4 linked regions of the Ovis aries genome follow. The protein of the gene in region 1 interacts with the protein of each later gene in a pairwise test. Links are inferred from orthologs where the notes say so. Each region holds a gene or a part of one and is shown in the gene's direction. Other genes may lie near its edges. The genes, in order: CCND3, CRABP2, EIF3K and VDR.

Region 1 (4,534 bases):
CAATTTTAGAAAAATAAACATTGTCATTTTAAAGGGTTATCTGGCCAACTGATGCAATGCGCCAACTCATTGGAAAAGGCCCTGATGCTGGGAAAGACTAAGGGCTGGAGGAGAAGGGGACAACAGAGGATGAGATGGTTGGATGGCATCACTGACTCAATGGACATGAGTTTGAGCAAGCTCTGGGAGATGGTGAAGGACAGGGAAGCCTGGCATGCTGCAGTCCATGGGGTCTCAAAGAGTTGGATATGACTTAGTGACTGAAGGACAACAATCTGGATGGTGAAACTGCCAGTACTTACTCTTTACTTTTTTGTGTGACATTGGTATTTTCTGTCTTCTACAATGCATTGAATATTTCCGTGATATGCAAACAGCAAAAAATTTATTGTATAAAAAAGAACAATTCACTGGGATAATGCTTAGCGCAGGACTGACCTCTTTCTATAGAGTGTCATTTCTCTAGTAATTAACTTCCTTAGTGTCTCACCTCCTTGGAGGACCCCAGGAAAGGCAGGGATCCCCATGGCCTCCTGCCATTTGGAGCATTACTGGAGGCTTGTGGTGTGTTTGCCTCCTGGTCACGCGGAATCCAGCTCTGGAAACGCTGCAAAGTCCCAAAGCTTGGGAGGTAAAAGTGGCGCCTGAAAGATTTTATACAATCTGAGCAAGAAACTCCTCTAGAAAGGAGGCAGTTTCTCCGCCCATCATTTCCTCAAACGGAAACTAAGGCCAACGTCAGGGTTTGTCCAAGGCCACACACCCAACTTAATGACAGACAAGGTGAGGCCTTGAATCCATGACCCTTCCGCCCTGTTGTAGTTCTCAAGCGTGCGGATTTAGGACTGTCTCTTCTCACACTTTAGTGTGTACAGGAATCACCAGGGATCTGGTTAAAGGCAGATTTTGATCCAGTAGGTCAGGGGATGGGCCTGAGGTTCTGCTTTTCTGACCCGCTCTCAGGCTGGTTCGGGGATCAGTTTAAGTAGCCACGGGGTAGAGCAGAGATTCTGGGGGCAGACCGTCGGCTTCCCAATCCTAGCTCTGCCGCAGACGAACTATTATTATAGTTACTGCTTCAGTTTCCTCAACTGCAAAATCAGTATAAGACCTAACCCACAGCTTCTTCATTAAGATTTTAATAAGTGCTCAGACCAGTCTCCCCTAAGATCTAGCTATTTTATTATTATTTACTTTTCCTAGAGCAAGCAGCGGGTGAAGTAGAGTTTGACGAATGAATGAATAACCTTTCGGGGCGCCTGGAGTCGGGAGATGCAAAAATGGAAGGGCTCGGAGGTGGGGGCGGGGGGCGAGGAGAGGCCCACCTCCAAAGCACACTCCTCTAGCACCGGGTGGTCAAAAGGATCCGGAGCGCCCGGAAGCCGGCGGCCCGCGCCCAGCCGACCAATGCGGTCGCCCGGGGGAGGGGGAGCGCCCGCCAGCCCTTTCCGTCCGGGCGCCGGAGGCCCCGCCCCCGGAGCGTCGCGACGTCTGAGCATTCCACGGTTGCTACTCGGTCTCGAGGGGCGGGGCGCCTGTCAGGGAAGCGGCGCGCGCGCGGCGGCGGGGGCGGGCTGAGGCTCGGCCGCGCAGTGCCAGCGACAGCGCCACAGTCCCGCGCCCCGCGCTCTCCGGCCCGCCGCCTGCGTTCTGGCTCCCGAGCCCGCACTCCCGCCCTGCCCGCGCGCTGCCCGAGGATGGAGCTGCTGTGCTGCGAGGGCACTCGGCACGCGCCCCGGGCCGGGCCGGACCCGCGGCTGCTAGGGGACCAGCGTGTCCTGCAGAGCTTGCTCCGCCTGGAGGAGCGCTACGTGCCCCGCGCCTCTTACTTCCAGTGTGTGCAGAGGGAGATCAAGCCGCACATGCGGAAGATGCTGGCGTACTGGATGCTGGAGGTACCGCCTGGGCGGGTCTCCCCTCCCCCGTCACCCCCGCGTCCCGGGCTCCGGACATCCCGGGGCCGCCCTGTCGGGACATCCTGGTCCTCAGCAACAATCAGCAAGATGTTTCTGTGGCGCAGATCCCCGGGGCCTGGACTTTTCACTCGCGCGCCCTTAGCCGGCTGCCTCGGTGCTGTCTTTTTCTTGCCCTTCTCTGACCCTGACCGCCAGGCATTTGGCACCCCCAAATAACCCTGTCTTCGGGCGGGGAAAGCGGGGCGAGGGCCACCCTCTCCCCTCTGACTTCTCTCAAAAGCCTCCCCCCGCCCCCACCGCACGCCCGGTCTTCTCTGGAGAGCGCGCCTGGAAAACCCTGGGCTCGGCCGCCCCCGCCGCAGAGCTGGTTCCTTGTGTGTGTCGCGGGGGTTCTGGCGGGGAAGCCGGTGGGGGTGGCGCGCTGTTCCGGCCGTCAGGGAAATGGAAAGTGCGGGAGGCAGCCGCTGGAGTCTCCTCCCTTCCTTTTGGGTGTGTGCACTGGGTGGCAGTAATGGGGGTAAGGTCCCAGTTCTCTGGCTTCTATGGGTGACTCTTCCGAACCCCTCTCCCTTGGTACGGGGGGTGCAGATCAGCCTCAGTTTGGATTCCTGAAGGAAGGGAGCCTCTGGCGTATCCCGCTCCGCCCCCCCCCCCCACTCCCACCCCCGGGGAAAGGAGGCACCGCAGAGGAAGTGGGAGGGTGTCACCTTGGGGAAGGCGCATCCTGCGTGTTAGTCCTTGTCACTGTGAGTACACCTACCCCCTCCCGTGTCTTGCTCCCCATTCCACTTCCCTTCAGCGCACCGCACCCCTCGCCTTTAGTTGCTGCTGCGTTTCCTAAGCCTCTGCCCCCGAAGTGACTGTGCGCCCTCCCCCAGGTGTGTGAGGAGCAGCGCTGTGAAGAGGAAGTCTTCCCCCTGGCCATGAACTACCTGGATCGCTACCTGTCCTGCGTCCCCACCCGAAAGGCGCAGTTGCAGCTCCTGGGTGCGGTCTGCATGCTGCTGGCCTCCAAGCTGCGCGAGACAACGCCCCTGACCATCGAGAAGCTGTGCATCTACACCGACCATTCTGTCTCCCCGCGCCAGCTGCGGGTGCGTGCATACCCTCCCCACCTGCCAGCACCCCCTGCCTCCTTCCTAACGTACCAGGATGGGGGAAGCTGAGACCTCGGGAGGCTTTCTGCCCCTGTGCAGGGTAGCAGCTTTTTTTCTTTTTCTTTTGACAAAAGATGGGACAGTGTGGTGTGATGGTCAGGGTGGCCCCAGTTCAGGCTTGCACTCCCAGCATGAACCAGATCCCCTGTCTTGACCTCCAGGGGGTGCCACTCCTTCATGGTCTTTCCCCCAGATAGCAACAAGTCAAACTGCATGTCTACACTCACCAGAACTTTGCCTCTGGGTTTACACAGCCACCAGGAGTTATTTATTGGCAGCAGCAGGGCATGCCTGTGCACCCCCACTGGAGTGGGGGAGTGGAACGTGCTTCACGTGGGGGAAGGGGCCGCCCGGGTTGAATCTTGTCTCCCAGTGTGTGGACTTTGTGATCAAAAAGTCTCCCAGAGCTGATTAAAGCCAGGCCCCAGCTGCTGTAAGGAAGGGCCGAGGAGTTCCATCCCACTTTGCTTCCTTCCTTCCTTTTATATCCCAGGAGAACCAGCTCCTTCCCTCATTCTCCATTCCCTAGTCTCACCCTGAGAAATTGCTCTCAGAAGCAGCTGCTTCAGGCCTGGTGGAATCATCTTTTCCCCTTTAGCCAAAGGCAAGTGCTGAGGCACAGACTGGGGCTGAACTGCAGCTGCTTCCGATGTGATAATGATGCCCTCTCCCCTGGCCCACCCACCCTGACCAAGGTCTTTCATAACCCTGTGGGGAGCTGCTGTCACTCCTGTGGTTTGGGAAGTGGCTCCCTGGGCCTCTTGCTGGGAACTTGGGCTGGGCTCTTCCCGAGGCAGGGCAGGGGAGTCATGGTTCTCTTTCCCCATTGAGCCTGGAGAGGAGGTGGGGAGTTGCTTGGATTTGGAAGAGGTTATTTGGGAGCGTGCAGATCATCTCTCGGGGGACCCAGGGGAGAGGGGTGAGCTGGCACCTTCCTCCATCTTGCTCTACAGCAGTCGAGTCTTCTCTTGACCCGAGAGGCGTCTCTGGGCCCCATCTCCCGGGGAGGAGGGCAGCGTGCTGGCTGCTGTGATTGGCTGGCCAGGAAAGCCAGGGTACTGGGGCCCCTGAGTGCTGCTTGTCGGGGAACGGGATTCCTCTTCCTGCCAAGTAGCTCTCGGATATGGGAGTAGGAGGCCAGAGCTGGGAATCTGGGAGGCTCCACAGCTCTTTGTGATGAATCTGGTAGTTTGGGGCAAGTCTGAAGGTGGAGCTGGTTTCCAGGGCTAGAGAGCAAGATGTTTCTGAAGGAGTTTGGGCTGGTGGAAGGGGACTTCATTTTTGTGAAAAGATGAGCATGGGATGTGTGCCTTTATGTGAGGGCAGTTTTTCAGAACAGGCCAAAAGTCCTCTCCTCCCACTCCCCCTGCCTGAGCTGGGGGTGGAGCGTGCCGATCGATGACTTCCTAGAAGGTCAGAGTTGGAAGGGACATCAGAGAGCTCCGGTCAGTCCAAATAATC
Region 2 (3,364 bases), on another chromosome or scaffold:
TCCGGCTACCCCATTCCTTTTAAATAAGTAGGGAGAGGAGAGAAGGGGTCCAGTCTGGGAAAGGACAGGGGGACAGGCACAGGGGCTCAGCTGAATGAGAAGATCTGGGCCCTGAAGTAGGGTGGGTGATCCTGGAGTCGGGGTACATCACGGGAGGGGAGGGGAGTGTCCCTTTCTGTCCCTTGAGGGGAGAGGGACGTAGATGTCTTCCAGGAGGGCAGGTGAACAGGAAGGAGTCTGATGCATGGAACTTTGAGCCCCAACTCTGGCTTTTTCTTTGCCATCCTTTAATCAGTAAAAACAACAACAATAAGAGTAGCTGCTGCTGCTGCTGCTGCTAAGTCACGTCAGTCATGTCTGACTCTGTGTGACCCCATAGACAGCACCCAACAGGCTCCTCTGTCCCTAGGATTCTCCAGGCAAGAACACTAGAGTGGGTTGCCATTTCCTTTGAAAACTTACAGATGTGCCTGGCACTGTGTGTGCTCCAGCCTAAACACACATTGTCCCATTTGATGGGCTCTTGAATAAGCTGTTGTCTCCATTTTACAACTGAGAAATCTAAGCCTTAGAGAGGTTAAGCCATTAGCCCAGGGTCACCCAGCCTGAAGGGAGGGTGAGCCAGGTGGAAATCATGGCCTAATGGATCTTATTTCACAGCCTGTGGTTTCCCCAGGCTACAGACCATTCTGTAGGGGGACACAGCTGCCACACCCCCTCCCCTGTTGAGAATCCCTGTTCCTTCTCATTCTGGAGGGACAGAGACTCAGCAAATCAAGGCCACCAGACAGGGGAGGTGAGTAGGCACAGAGGGAAGTGGCCCCTACTTCAGGACATGAGTAGTGAGGGCTGGCTGAGGAGGGTCTGCCCTGCAGATGAGTCGGGGTGTGGACACAGTGATTCTGATGAGCCCACCCCAGCAGATGGTCTCAAGCAAGGTGGACAAAGGACCTAAAGTGAGGTGACTGGAGCCAAAGGGAGCTGTAGCAGGCTGAAGGGACCGGGGAGAACTGACTGCAAAGCTGAGACTTGGGGATCCCAATCCAGGGCTGCTGACTCATCCAGGTGGAAGCTAGAAGCAGAAATCCCAAGGGAGGGCACTGCCTCTCTGCCCCTCCTTGCTGAACCCACCAGCCATCAGGGCTGCACCACCTGCCCTCCCTTCAAGGCGCTTTTCGGACACCCAGGAAGCCTCCCTCTCTTCCCAGTCGACTCATGATCCAGCTTGCTCCTGCTGTCTCTTGGGGAGGGTGTGAGGCAGGTACCTGGACCGTCCATCCTCTCCCCTCCCTGCAGGGGTGAATGTGATGCTGAGAAAGATCGCCGTGGCTGCAGCATCCAAGCCAGCAGTGGAGATCAAACAGGAGGGGGACACTTTCTACATCAAAACCTCCACCACCGTGCGTACCACAGAGATCAACTTCAAGGTCGGAGAGGAGTTTGAAGAGCAGACTGTGGACGGGAGGCCCTGTAAGGTGCGTGCAGGGATGGGGTCCCCAGGGTCGTGGGATCCCTTGCCAGTGGATCTTTTCCCATCTTCCCCTCGAGTCTCTCCTCCATTTCCAGTGGGGAGAGTCCCTAGGTAGTGTTGGTGGGTAGAAAGGTGGCGCTTCCTCTGTCCCTCTCACAGCCTTGTCCCGGCTGTGGGCCCAACTCACCTGGCCACTCTCTCGTACAGAGCCTGGTGAAATGGGAGAGTGAGAACAAAATGGTCTGCGAGCAGAGGCTGTTGAAGGGAGAGGGTCCCAAGACCTCCTGGACCAGAGAACTGACCAACGATGGAGAGCTGATCCTGGTAAGGCTTTTTCCTGCTTTTCTCCAAGCTCAGACAGAGCAAGCCCAGTGCTACCTTCAGAGATTTTCCAGGACATTCCACAGTACAGGAAATTTAAGAACAACGGTGGCTGGTCTCTCTGTCTCCTGATGGAGCTGCTGGGGCAGAACTAGGTTGTCTGTGTTCCAGGTAGTACCCTTGTGCAAACGCAAAAGGGTGTCCCTTCCACGTGGAGCAAAGGGCTTGCTCTGAAAGGCCGCAGCAGATCTCTGGAGGGGGTGGAGGGGGGATCTTCCTGGCTTGGGGAGGGAGATGTAGAATGGACCCTGGGCCTCTATTGTCCTCCATCACATGATGCCCAGGCATTTTGTGAACCATCCTGAGCCAAGAAGTAGGTTTGGACCTGGAGGCCAAGCAGAGTATTTCCATGCAACCTTCCTGCTCCCAAGCACAGGAACCAGGGGCCTCCCAGGCTAACAATGACTTCTCTCCCTTCAGACCATGACGGCGGATGACATCGTGTGCACCAGGGTCTATGTCCGAGAGTAAGCGGCTGCACCCCCAGAGCCGCCGCCGGCCCATGCTCCCTGCCTCCTGCCCCACCCCTTCATCTAGGCTAGCTCTCCCCTCACCCCAGTCACTTCTGGGGGTTCTGGGTTGCCTTCTGCAGGGGCTCTCCTTTTATTGACCCCTCCTCTCCTCCCATATATCAACACGATGGATGGAACCCAGATCACCGATTCCAGGATCACTCCCCCCACCCCCGCCCTAGTCCTAGCCCCAAACCAGCCCATAGCACCCTCTCTCTCCTTTTCTGCAAGGGGACCCGAGGGCCTAAGTAGGAAAGACCGGCCCTCTGTCTTCCACTCTGTCCCTGTAGCCCATACAGTGTAGAATATTTATTGGTTAATTTTATTAAAATGTTTTAGGAAATAAAACCTGTCTCTGGCTCACTGGGAAGGGGCTGGGTAAGTCGCCTGAGTCCAACTTCGCCTTTGAAAGGCAGTGTGAGAGAGTCTGATGTTTCAGCAGCATAGGTGCACAGTTCACAAGGGGGAGGGAACCAGCTGGCCTCCACCCTCCTCATCACCATCCCTTCCTTTGCTGCAGAATCCATGACCATCACCTTCACTCCCCCTCCTCCAGCCTCCTTTGTCCCCAGCTCTGGCTTCCAAAGTAACTAAGGCTTCATCCTCTGACTCTCAGCAGGTGCTGAGGAACTGACTCCCACCTTCTCCTGCGATGGTGACATGGCTCCCTCCTCCTCCTCCAACTGTTCCTTCTCTCTCTTCCAACCCCAATCTGTGGGCAACCCCAGGCCTGGCCTTGGCCTCCCACATGGCTCCAGATGACTCATCACCGCCCACAGGATGGCCTTGCTCTTGCCCATGTCTCTTTGTGTCTGAGACAAGCCTATCTCTGCCTTGAGATCTCTCACTCTGCCCCGTCTGCCCCGTCTCTTGGATCTTCCAGGCCCCTTAGGTCCTCCTCCCCCGCACCTCCCTGAGCCTCCACACTCAGTTCTGTGTCTTCCCAAATTCCATCAGAGTCTCTTTCACACGCCACTGCACTTGACCCTGCTTTCTCATT
Region 3 (4,384 bases), on another chromosome or scaffold:
GTAAAGGGGAAGTTGGCAGTCAGGCAGGCTCCATTTGCCCGAGGTCTTCCTCAGCATCCCTGAAGCCAAGCTGAGGACTGGGACCCTCTCACATCCCCATCCCTTCTTGGGGCTCACCCCCAAGGTCACAGGTTTGAGAGTGTTGGAGAAGGAGGGGGGTTCCTCACCTTGAAAACTTCCCCATAGGTGCCGCCACCCAGCCGCTGCAGCAGGTCATAGTGGTCCCGGGGGTCCCTGTTAAAGATGTCAGGGTCTACGAGGTCCATTCCTGGGGGCCGGAGCTGGGCCTGCGCCCAGGGGCCAGCAGGGCCTCAGGGCTCCGAATGCTGGCACCTCCCTCCCTCCCCACACGCCCTGCACCCGCCTTGCCTCCACCGGCTGTGGCCTCCCCCCTCCCCACTCTCGCTTCCTGCCCCGGCACAGAGCTGTGCAGCCAGCGGCTCCACCCCCTGTCCCCTGGGCCCTGACAGCCTGTGAGGGGCAGCTTGCCTTGGGACCCAGGGGACTCCCCCCTCCACCTCCGGGGCCCTGGGCTGCATGTAAACCAGATGCAAACTATCTTCATTGTGACCTGGAGGGTGCCCTCACCCTCCCCCGTTATGGGCAGTGGCTAAAAACATTTGAACCTCTGCTGAACGCTGAGTGTTGGGCCACAACCTGGAGATGGCAGGTCTACACCGGGATGACCATGTAGTGTATGTACATCATTGTTCACCCGGGACACATACAGGCACTTAGTGGTAACTCCCCGTGCGGCGCGCAGGCCAGTCGCCGTGCACACTCCTGGATACCCGTGTGCACGTATGTGGATATACCCAGAGCATATACACATATGACACATGCATGTTCAGTCATGCTTGCAGTGGGCAGTATCTGAACACACAACTAGGGATGCCACATGCGGAGCGCTCGCCTTCACCCACAGAACTGGAGCTATGGGGACTGGGCGTGATCTAGCGGGGTCCACGAGCCCCTCTCTCCGCCCCTGCCGAGCTGAGCACAACAGCTTTGCGGGCCACTACCCTCGGCGTTAGGGTGAAGTGTGGGGGACCAGGTTCACGACTTAAAACTGCGAAGCTCAGGATCCTTCCTCAGAGGCCAAGGGGACCTCAGAGGGCACCTTCTTCGGCACATGCCCATGGACCAAAAGGATTGTACTGATGGAACCCCAGCAGTTTTGAGTTCACAGCCCGTGCACGCCGTCACGGATCAGTCTACTTCCCGCTAAGTCCGCGCTCACGCGCCAGGGTCTATAACTGGATACGCGAGGCCCGGGAAAAGCTTAGTCCCGCCCCCTCGCCGCGAGAAGGCGCCTGCGCACTTGGTTAGACTAGGTCTTTTCTCGCGCCGTAGCTTCTGCTCGAGTAGAGCGTATGCGCACGCGCTAACTGCGCCGGCTGGGAAGAAGTCACGCGGCAGCCGGAAAGCGTGGCAGCCGCAGCTAGACCCAAAGCACGATTCACCGCGGGGCTGGAGAGAAAACAATTACGTAGTTTCCGTTTCCACCAACTCTTCCTCTTCCGGTCCTCGAGGACGCTTTGCCGGCAGGGTCTTCGGCCTTAGGCCTGGTGTGGGAGGCGGCAGCAGTCATGGCGATGTTTGAGCAGATGAGAGCGAACGTGGGCAAGTTGCTCAAGGGGATCGACAGGTCTGAGCCCGGTCGGAGGGAGCGTTTCTGGCCAGCGTGGAGGAGAGGGTTTTCTGGGGTCAGCAAGAGGTGGTCAGCATCCTGGGCTTGCCCAGGGGTGGGATTTTTCAGTCAGTCTGGAGCAGTTGTTTAAGAAAACAGCATTGTATAGGCCTAAAGGCAAGAGGTGGCCTTGCCTGCCGCTCAGTCCGCTTTAATTGCCTTAAGGCCGCCCTCTCTGCTTAACTTATTCTCTCTCAGCCCCTCTGTTTTCTCTCTGCTCCTCAGTCTCACTGAGCCTCTCAGTGCCTCTTCGTGGCTCCCCTTCCCCCCCTAATTTCATTCATCGAACACATGTTTACTGAAATCTACACTGTGAATTCTGGGCAATGGTGCGGACCAGAGATAACCAAAGACAGCCACTGGCCATGCTTTCATGGAGTTTCTAGTTCAGATAAACCGGACGGTAGACAGTGATAGCCAGGAGTGGTCAAGGTGGTGATGGGGGAAACATAGGTAGATTGGTGGGGGCTAGGATGGGGAAAACTAGGCAGGAGAGAATGGGCTGCACCAGAGTGGGGTTTGGGGATGGGAGAAAGGGGTGGATATCAAAGATGTCCAGGAGGGCAGATGTACAGGCTGCAAGGGCTGGTTGGCTGAGAGATTGAAAAGACATTTTTCAGAAAAGACCCAGGGCTCTGATGGGGTTTAGAGCTGGGGCTTAGGTCAGGGATATGGATAAGTTTCATCAGAGATTATAGAGCTGATTCAATATTTGAGTAGAGCAAGTGGCCAGTGACGGAGGGAGGGAGGAAAGGAAGAGAAGGAGGAGCAGGCTACAGTCGCCCCCACTCCTACCCCATGGGAGTGACTGGCCTCAGCTCTTGTCTCTGCTCACTCATCTTGTTTCTCCTCTAGGTACAACCCTGAGAACCTGGCCACCCTGGAGCGCTATGTGGAGACACAGGCCAAGGAAAATGCCTATGATCTGGAAGCCAACCTGGCTGTCCTGAAACTGTGAGTATCTGCCTCCATTCCCACCCGGTTCCCATAGTCAGCAGCCTGCCACTCCCAGCACTGGGTGGGGTGGGAGTGAGGGGTAACCTCCAGGATGTGACTTCTCTCTCTTTTTTAAAAATTGGAATCTAGTTGATTTACAATGTTATATTAGTTTTAGATGTACAACATAGTGTTTGGGTATTTTTATAGGTTATACTCCGTTTAGAGTTCTTATATAATGGGGGTCATAGCCCCTGTGCTGTTCATTGTGACTTTGTATCTTATTTCATATATATTTCGTACCCCTTAATCCCCTTCCATTATCTCACCTCTCCCCCACCCCATTCCCATCTATAACCACTAGTTTGCTTCTCTGTTTCTGTTTTGTTGCTTTCATTTTATTCTTTAGATTCTACATATAAGCGAAAACATGTGGTATTTGCCTTTCCCTGTCTGACTTAACTTCACTAAGCGTAATATTCTCCAGGTCCATCCATGTTGTTGAAAGGGCAAATTTTCATTCTTTTTCCTTTTTTTTTTTTTAATGGCTGAATAATATTCCATTGTGTGTATGTGTTTCTATGTACCACATCTTCTTTATCCATTCATTTGTCAGTGGACACTTAGGTTGCTTCCAGATCTTGGCTACTGAAAATAATGCTCCTGAGAACACTGGGGTGCCTGTATCACTTCAAATTAGTGTTTGTTTTCTTTACTTATATTTATATACACACACATACCCAGGAGTGGAATTGCTGGATCATGTGGTAGTCCTAGATTTGATTTTACAGGGAACCTCCCTACTGTTTTCCACGGTGGCTGTGCCAATTGACATGACACTATCAAGCGTTCTCTCCTCCACATCCTTGCCGGTGTTTTGTTATTTGTTGTCTTCTTGTTGATAGCCATTTTGTCAAGTGTGTGATTCTGATTTGCATTTTCCTGATGTTTAGTGATGTTGAGCATCTTCTCAATTGCCTGTTGGCGATCTCTGTCTTCTTTTAAAAAAAAAGCGTCTATTCAGAAGTTTCTGACAGGGTTTTGCGGGATTTTTGGTATTGAATTGTATGACCTCTTTATCTGTTTTGGATAGAATGTGCAAGACTAGGGAGCCAGGAAGTAGGGGCAGGAGGAGGGATGGTTTTTGAAAACTTAGTTACAGGGGCTGCACTCCAGCAGTTAAGATTCCAGCCTTCCACTGCAGGGGACACGAGTTAGATCCCTGGCTGGGGAACTAAGCTCCCGCAGGCCTTGCTGTGCAACCAAAAAGTAAAAAAAAAAATAAATAAAAATCATAACAAAGCGCACATACAGGCTGCTGCAGAAAGCAAGTATATGGTTTAACGTGGAGTTATAAATGGACACCTATGTAATCAGCAGCCCAACTGCAAAATGGGTGTTGCTAGCACCCTGTCCTTTGCCCCATGTGTTTTGTGCCAACCACGCTGACCTGATGACCCTGGTGACCACTCCTGTGCTCTCGTGGCCTGGCTTTGTGTGAATTTACCACACGCTTGCAGGCGCATGTACACACATACACATCCTGATTCGCTTAGCGCAGGTTTGCCTGCTTTGAACTGAACATAAGAGTAGCTGCACGACTGGAGCTCTTCTGCGTCTGGCAGCTTGCACTCAGCCCTGGGTTTGTGAGCTCCACGCTTCTCCTGTGTGGCCGCAGTTGGTTGTCATTGCTGTGCAGTGTTCCATGTGGAGCCAGGTCCTAATTATCTGTTATCCTGTCGGTAGATATTTGGTTCC
Region 4 (3,734 bases), on another chromosome or scaffold:
GGACTCAGATAAAACTGGGAGGCAGCCCCATCTGAAACCTTTCACCAGTCAGGAGGGACCCCAGACATAGCCCTGAGCTAGTAGCCGGCAGGATTGCAGGCGGCAGGTGAAGCTGAGGTCCTGACTTGCCCAAGGGAAGGCTCGTCAGCTGCTTCCTGAGAAGACTCTCCCAGAGCTATTATATTTTGTCCTCTCTGTCTCTTTTCCCTCCTTCTTCAAGTGTGAAATCTATCTCTAGATGATAATGCCTATTTATAAAAGCAGCCTCTGAAAACAAAATTAATTCCTATACGACTCACATTACTCAGAAGGATGTTCAGAACAATGCGTTGAATTTACATTGAAGGGAGAAGGGGGAGGGGGAAAGCTTTGATAACCTGGATACCAGGACAGCAAGGACACCAGGCTGTCCGTCCTGAGCTGTGGGGCTGCTTGGAGCTGGCATGACAGGGTCTGCTATGGGCAGGTAACCTGTCCTCTTCCCCTCACCCTGAAGGATAGAGGGGCTGAAGGTGTCCCTCTGTGTACAAGGCTGTTGGAGGCCCCCTTCCCTTTTGGAGGGGACCCTGGGCAAAGAGGCCTCTGACCTGCAGCAGGTCCACTGCTGAGGTGCAGCTGAGGCCAGTGATGTGGGTATCATTCACAAGAACCTTCCTCACACCCAGTGAAGTAAACACACTCTTCAGATGAGGACAGTGGGACGCAGAGAGGCAGGAGCCCTCACCCAAAGGAGTCCAGCCCGTAGGCACCAGCCTCTGGTTCTCCGGGCTTTGACGCCAGGCCACGCCATGAGCATCGCCACAGCGCCCCCTGCAGACGTGCTCCAGCCTGTCTGGGGAGACCCGCTTCTGCTTGTGGCCGGCAGCCTCAGGAGGGTGAGCTGGTGGCACCCGGAACCACAAAGCGAGGGCGCCAAGGATCCCACTGAGGCCTGGGCCCTGGGGACAGCTCGACTTTGCTGAGCTCCTGGCAGAAGGGCTGCCAGCGGCCTCATCCCCGCCTGCTGTTCTTGCAGCCATGGAGGCGACTGCGGCCAGCACTTCCTTACCTGACCCCGGCGACTTTGACCGGAACGTGCCCCGGATCTGCGGGGTGTGCGGGGACCGAGCCACCGGCTTCCATTTCAACGCTATGACCTGCGAAGGTTGCAAAGGCTTCTTCAGGTGAGTGCCCTGCAAGAGCGAGGAGTAGCGGGTGAGGAACAGAGTTTCCCGCAAAGAGACCCTGCGTGTTCTGTGTCTCCTTCCTCACCAGGCCCAGAAACACTCCCGTTCTCACAGCCACCCGGGCCAACAGGGTCTGTTTCTTCCTCCTCTGCCCTCAGCTCCAGCTTGTCCTCTGGCCCAACTGCTTCCTGGGTGGAAGCAGTTCATGTGAACCCCCATCCGTCCATCACCCCTTGACATACAGCCCCCTGCACCCACCCATGTCCTTCCAGAGTGAACCTCCTACCATTGATGATCAGAGCTTCCTAGTCCAGGAGACTGGCATGGCCTCCAGGAAGCCCAAGAACTTGGCCTCAGAGCACGCACCCCCACCCTCTCCCCTCCTGCCACCATCCAAACCAAACCATCCCCTGGAACAAGGGAAATGACATCCCTAGTTGGACCTCCATACTTGATCTGTGCACCACGACTTGCTTATCAAAGTTGGAAAGCTAACCTCAGAGTGTGCAGGAAAGCACACGCATTCTGGTTTGGTCAGGGCTAGTTTTTCTGCGAGCAGCCTCTTCTCTTTTCATGTAGGCCCAGCATTACCAGTGCAGACTGTATGGGAAAGTCCTGGAAAAGCTGGACAAAGGCTATTCCCATCTGGAGCCAGGGAGGGAGGAGAGAGAAGTGAGGAATGGCAGGGTGGGATTCAAAACCAGGAGAAGTTAGCATTTTGCATATTTTGGAGAGAGAAACAGAATGGAGCCTGGAAGAAGGCAGCCAAAAATGAGCTTCTATGTAATAGTCTTGCTGAGGGTGAGTAAAGCTAATGGCAGGGCTTTCCATCAAAGAGAGGAAAGAGCGAATCAAGTCCAGAACAAGGAATCCATTTCCCTGAACTGGCACTGAGGGCAGCGTGAATCAGAGTTAGAATCCTAACTCACCTGCCCTCTGCGGCAGAAACTGGCAGGCCTGGAGTTTGATTGCCTTGAGCCACCGTGCCGAGGCCCCTTTGAGTCTGAGCTGACTGACGGCCACTACTCCCTCCTGCAAGGTCTGGTGTTATGGTCAGCAAGCTGCTTTTATCTTGCTTCCCTGTCCTCCATCTACCTTATAACTTTACTGCCTCTGCCTTGATGACAGCCCAGGCTGCACTTTTTGAAGAGCCAACATCTCTCCCATTGTTTGGCTTGAATTCTGTTTTATAAATATGCACAGTTGATCCTCATTGTTTGTGGAGTCCACATCTGCAAATCTGACGACCTGGTAAGCTTTACTTGTCATCCCCAGATCAATACTTGCAGCTCTGGTGTTTCTGGACACGTGCAGAGTGGAGAAAAATTCTGTCTCTCATTGTACACGTTCCCAGCCAAGGCTGAGCCAGACATTCTGCCTTCTGTTTCAATTCTCACACTATGAACAAGTGTCCTGTTCTTGGTATATTTAGTGCCATCCTTTTTGCACCTTTGTACCATTTGATAGTGATTTCACTGTGTAAGGTGGCACCCAAGCATGGTGCTGAAATTCTTTCAGGTTCTCCTAAGCATGTGAAAGCTGAAAGGCGCCTTACAGAGAAAAGACATGTTAGACAAGCTTTGTTTAGACACAGGCTTTTTAGCTGTTGGCTATGAGTTCAATGTTAATGAGTCAACAACATGTGTTAAATAAGGTGCGTTTAAATAGATGCCTCACATGAAACAAAGTTATTTACTGATGGACTGATGAAAGCATTGTGACCGGAGGCTCACAGGAACCTAATCCAAATTCTCCTAGGAGCGATGATTCAATATTTGCTGATTCGGCATTCATGATGGCTTTATGAATGTAACTACCACAAAGAACAAGAATAGACTGTCTGCATATAATTTCTCCTCCTCTCTCCCCTCCACATACTTCTCCTCCTTTGCTTCATCCATATACTATTTGATAATCTTCTTCTTTAGTCTATTTCAAATAGCTGTTTGAGAATTCCATTGTCAGTTGTATCTGTCTGCAGAATCCTCATCCTGGGTAGGAAGGCCTCTGTCAGAAGGAGGTCCTTCTCTGCGTTGGGTACCGCATCCTTGAGAACACAAAGATAGCACAAGCCCTTGCTCTCCAGAAGCTCTCTCAGCCCTGCAAGAGCAGTTCTCAAGGAAAAAGCATTACCTTAGGGTTGAGCCACTGACTATATTCTAACCCCTGGGATATAAGCCCCTTTGACCATTTAGTGTTTGATTGACTTCTTAATCAAACTAAATTGCTCTAGAAGTGAGTTGTGATCATTTCAGCAAGTCTAAGACTCATAATCAAATCAAAGTGTGATTATGGGGGTTGGTTGGTTCTATTGACCTATGGTCAAGAATTAGAGACTATTGCCAGCCAGTCACTCCTGCAAGCCATTTCATACTGTTTCTACTCCCTGCTCCTCTGGAATACATGCAGTCCATAGAGAAAGATGCTATTTCCAGTGAGAATGAAAGGTTGGCATGCACAGGCTTCTAGAAGATTATATGTCTTGGTAGTATGTTAACCTAATATGTTAAAAGGCAAAGACATCACTTTGCCAACAAAAATCCATATAGTCAAGGCTATGGTCTTTCC

Evidence for each region.
Region 2: the proteins of CCND3 (region 1) and CRABP2 interact in binary tests that used the Homo sapiens proteins (3 or more experiments, as listed by UniProt). The link is inferred for Ovis aries from reciprocal best matches to the Homo sapiens genes CCND3 and CRABP2.
Region 3: the proteins of CCND3 (region 1) and EIF3K interact in a two-hybrid assay, tested with the Homo sapiens proteins (2 studies listed by BioGRID and IntAct). The link is inferred for Ovis aries from reciprocal best matches to the Homo sapiens genes CCND3 and EIF3K.
Region 4: the proteins of CCND3 (region 1) and VDR interact in a two-hybrid assay, tested with the Homo sapiens proteins (2 studies listed by BioGRID and IntAct). The link is inferred for Ovis aries from reciprocal best matches to the Homo sapiens genes CCND3 and VDR.

The regions. Positions count from the first base shown.
Region 1 is NC_056073.1:15,736,994-15,741,527, reverse strand, and holds the start of CCND3 (G1/S-specific cyclin-D3), read left to right. Parts: upstream 1-1,697; coding exon 1,698-1,895; intron 1,896-2,794; coding exon 2,795-3,010; intron 3,011-4,534. UniProt on the Homo sapiens protein: Regulatory component of the cyclin D3-CDK4 (DC) complex that phosphorylates and inhibits members of the retinoblastoma (RB) protein family including RB1 and regulates the cell-cycle during G(1)/S transition.
Region 2 is NC_056054.1:106,664,175-106,667,538, reverse strand, and holds the end of CRABP2 (cellular retinoic acid-binding protein 2), read left to right. Parts: intron 1-1,296; coding exon 1,297-1,475; intron 1,476-1,678; coding exon 1,679-1,924; 3' UTR 1,925-2,272; coding exon of another isoform or gene 2,273-2,323; 3' UTR 2,324-2,712; downstream 2,713-3,364. UniProt on the Homo sapiens protein: Transports retinoic acid to the nucleus. Regulates the access of retinoic acid to the nuclear retinoic acid receptors.
Region 3 is NC_056067.1:47,756,084-47,760,467, forward strand, and holds the start of EIF3K (eukaryotic translation initiation factor 3 subunit K), read left to right. Parts: upstream 1-1,515; 5' UTR 1,516-1,589; coding exon 1,590-1,648; intron 1,649-2,545; coding exon 2,546-2,644; intron 2,645-4,384. Other genes in the region: MAP4K1 (mitogen-activated protein kinase kinase kinase kinase 1), read right to left, coding at 168-266. UniProt on the Homo sapiens protein: Component of the eukaryotic translation initiation factor 3 (eIF-3) complex, which is required for several steps in the initiation of protein synthesis.
Region 4 is NC_056056.1:138,709,057-138,712,790, forward strand, and holds part of VDR (vitamin D3 receptor), read left to right. Parts: intron 1-1,015; 5' UTR 1,016-1,017; coding exon 1,018-1,163; intron 1,164-3,734.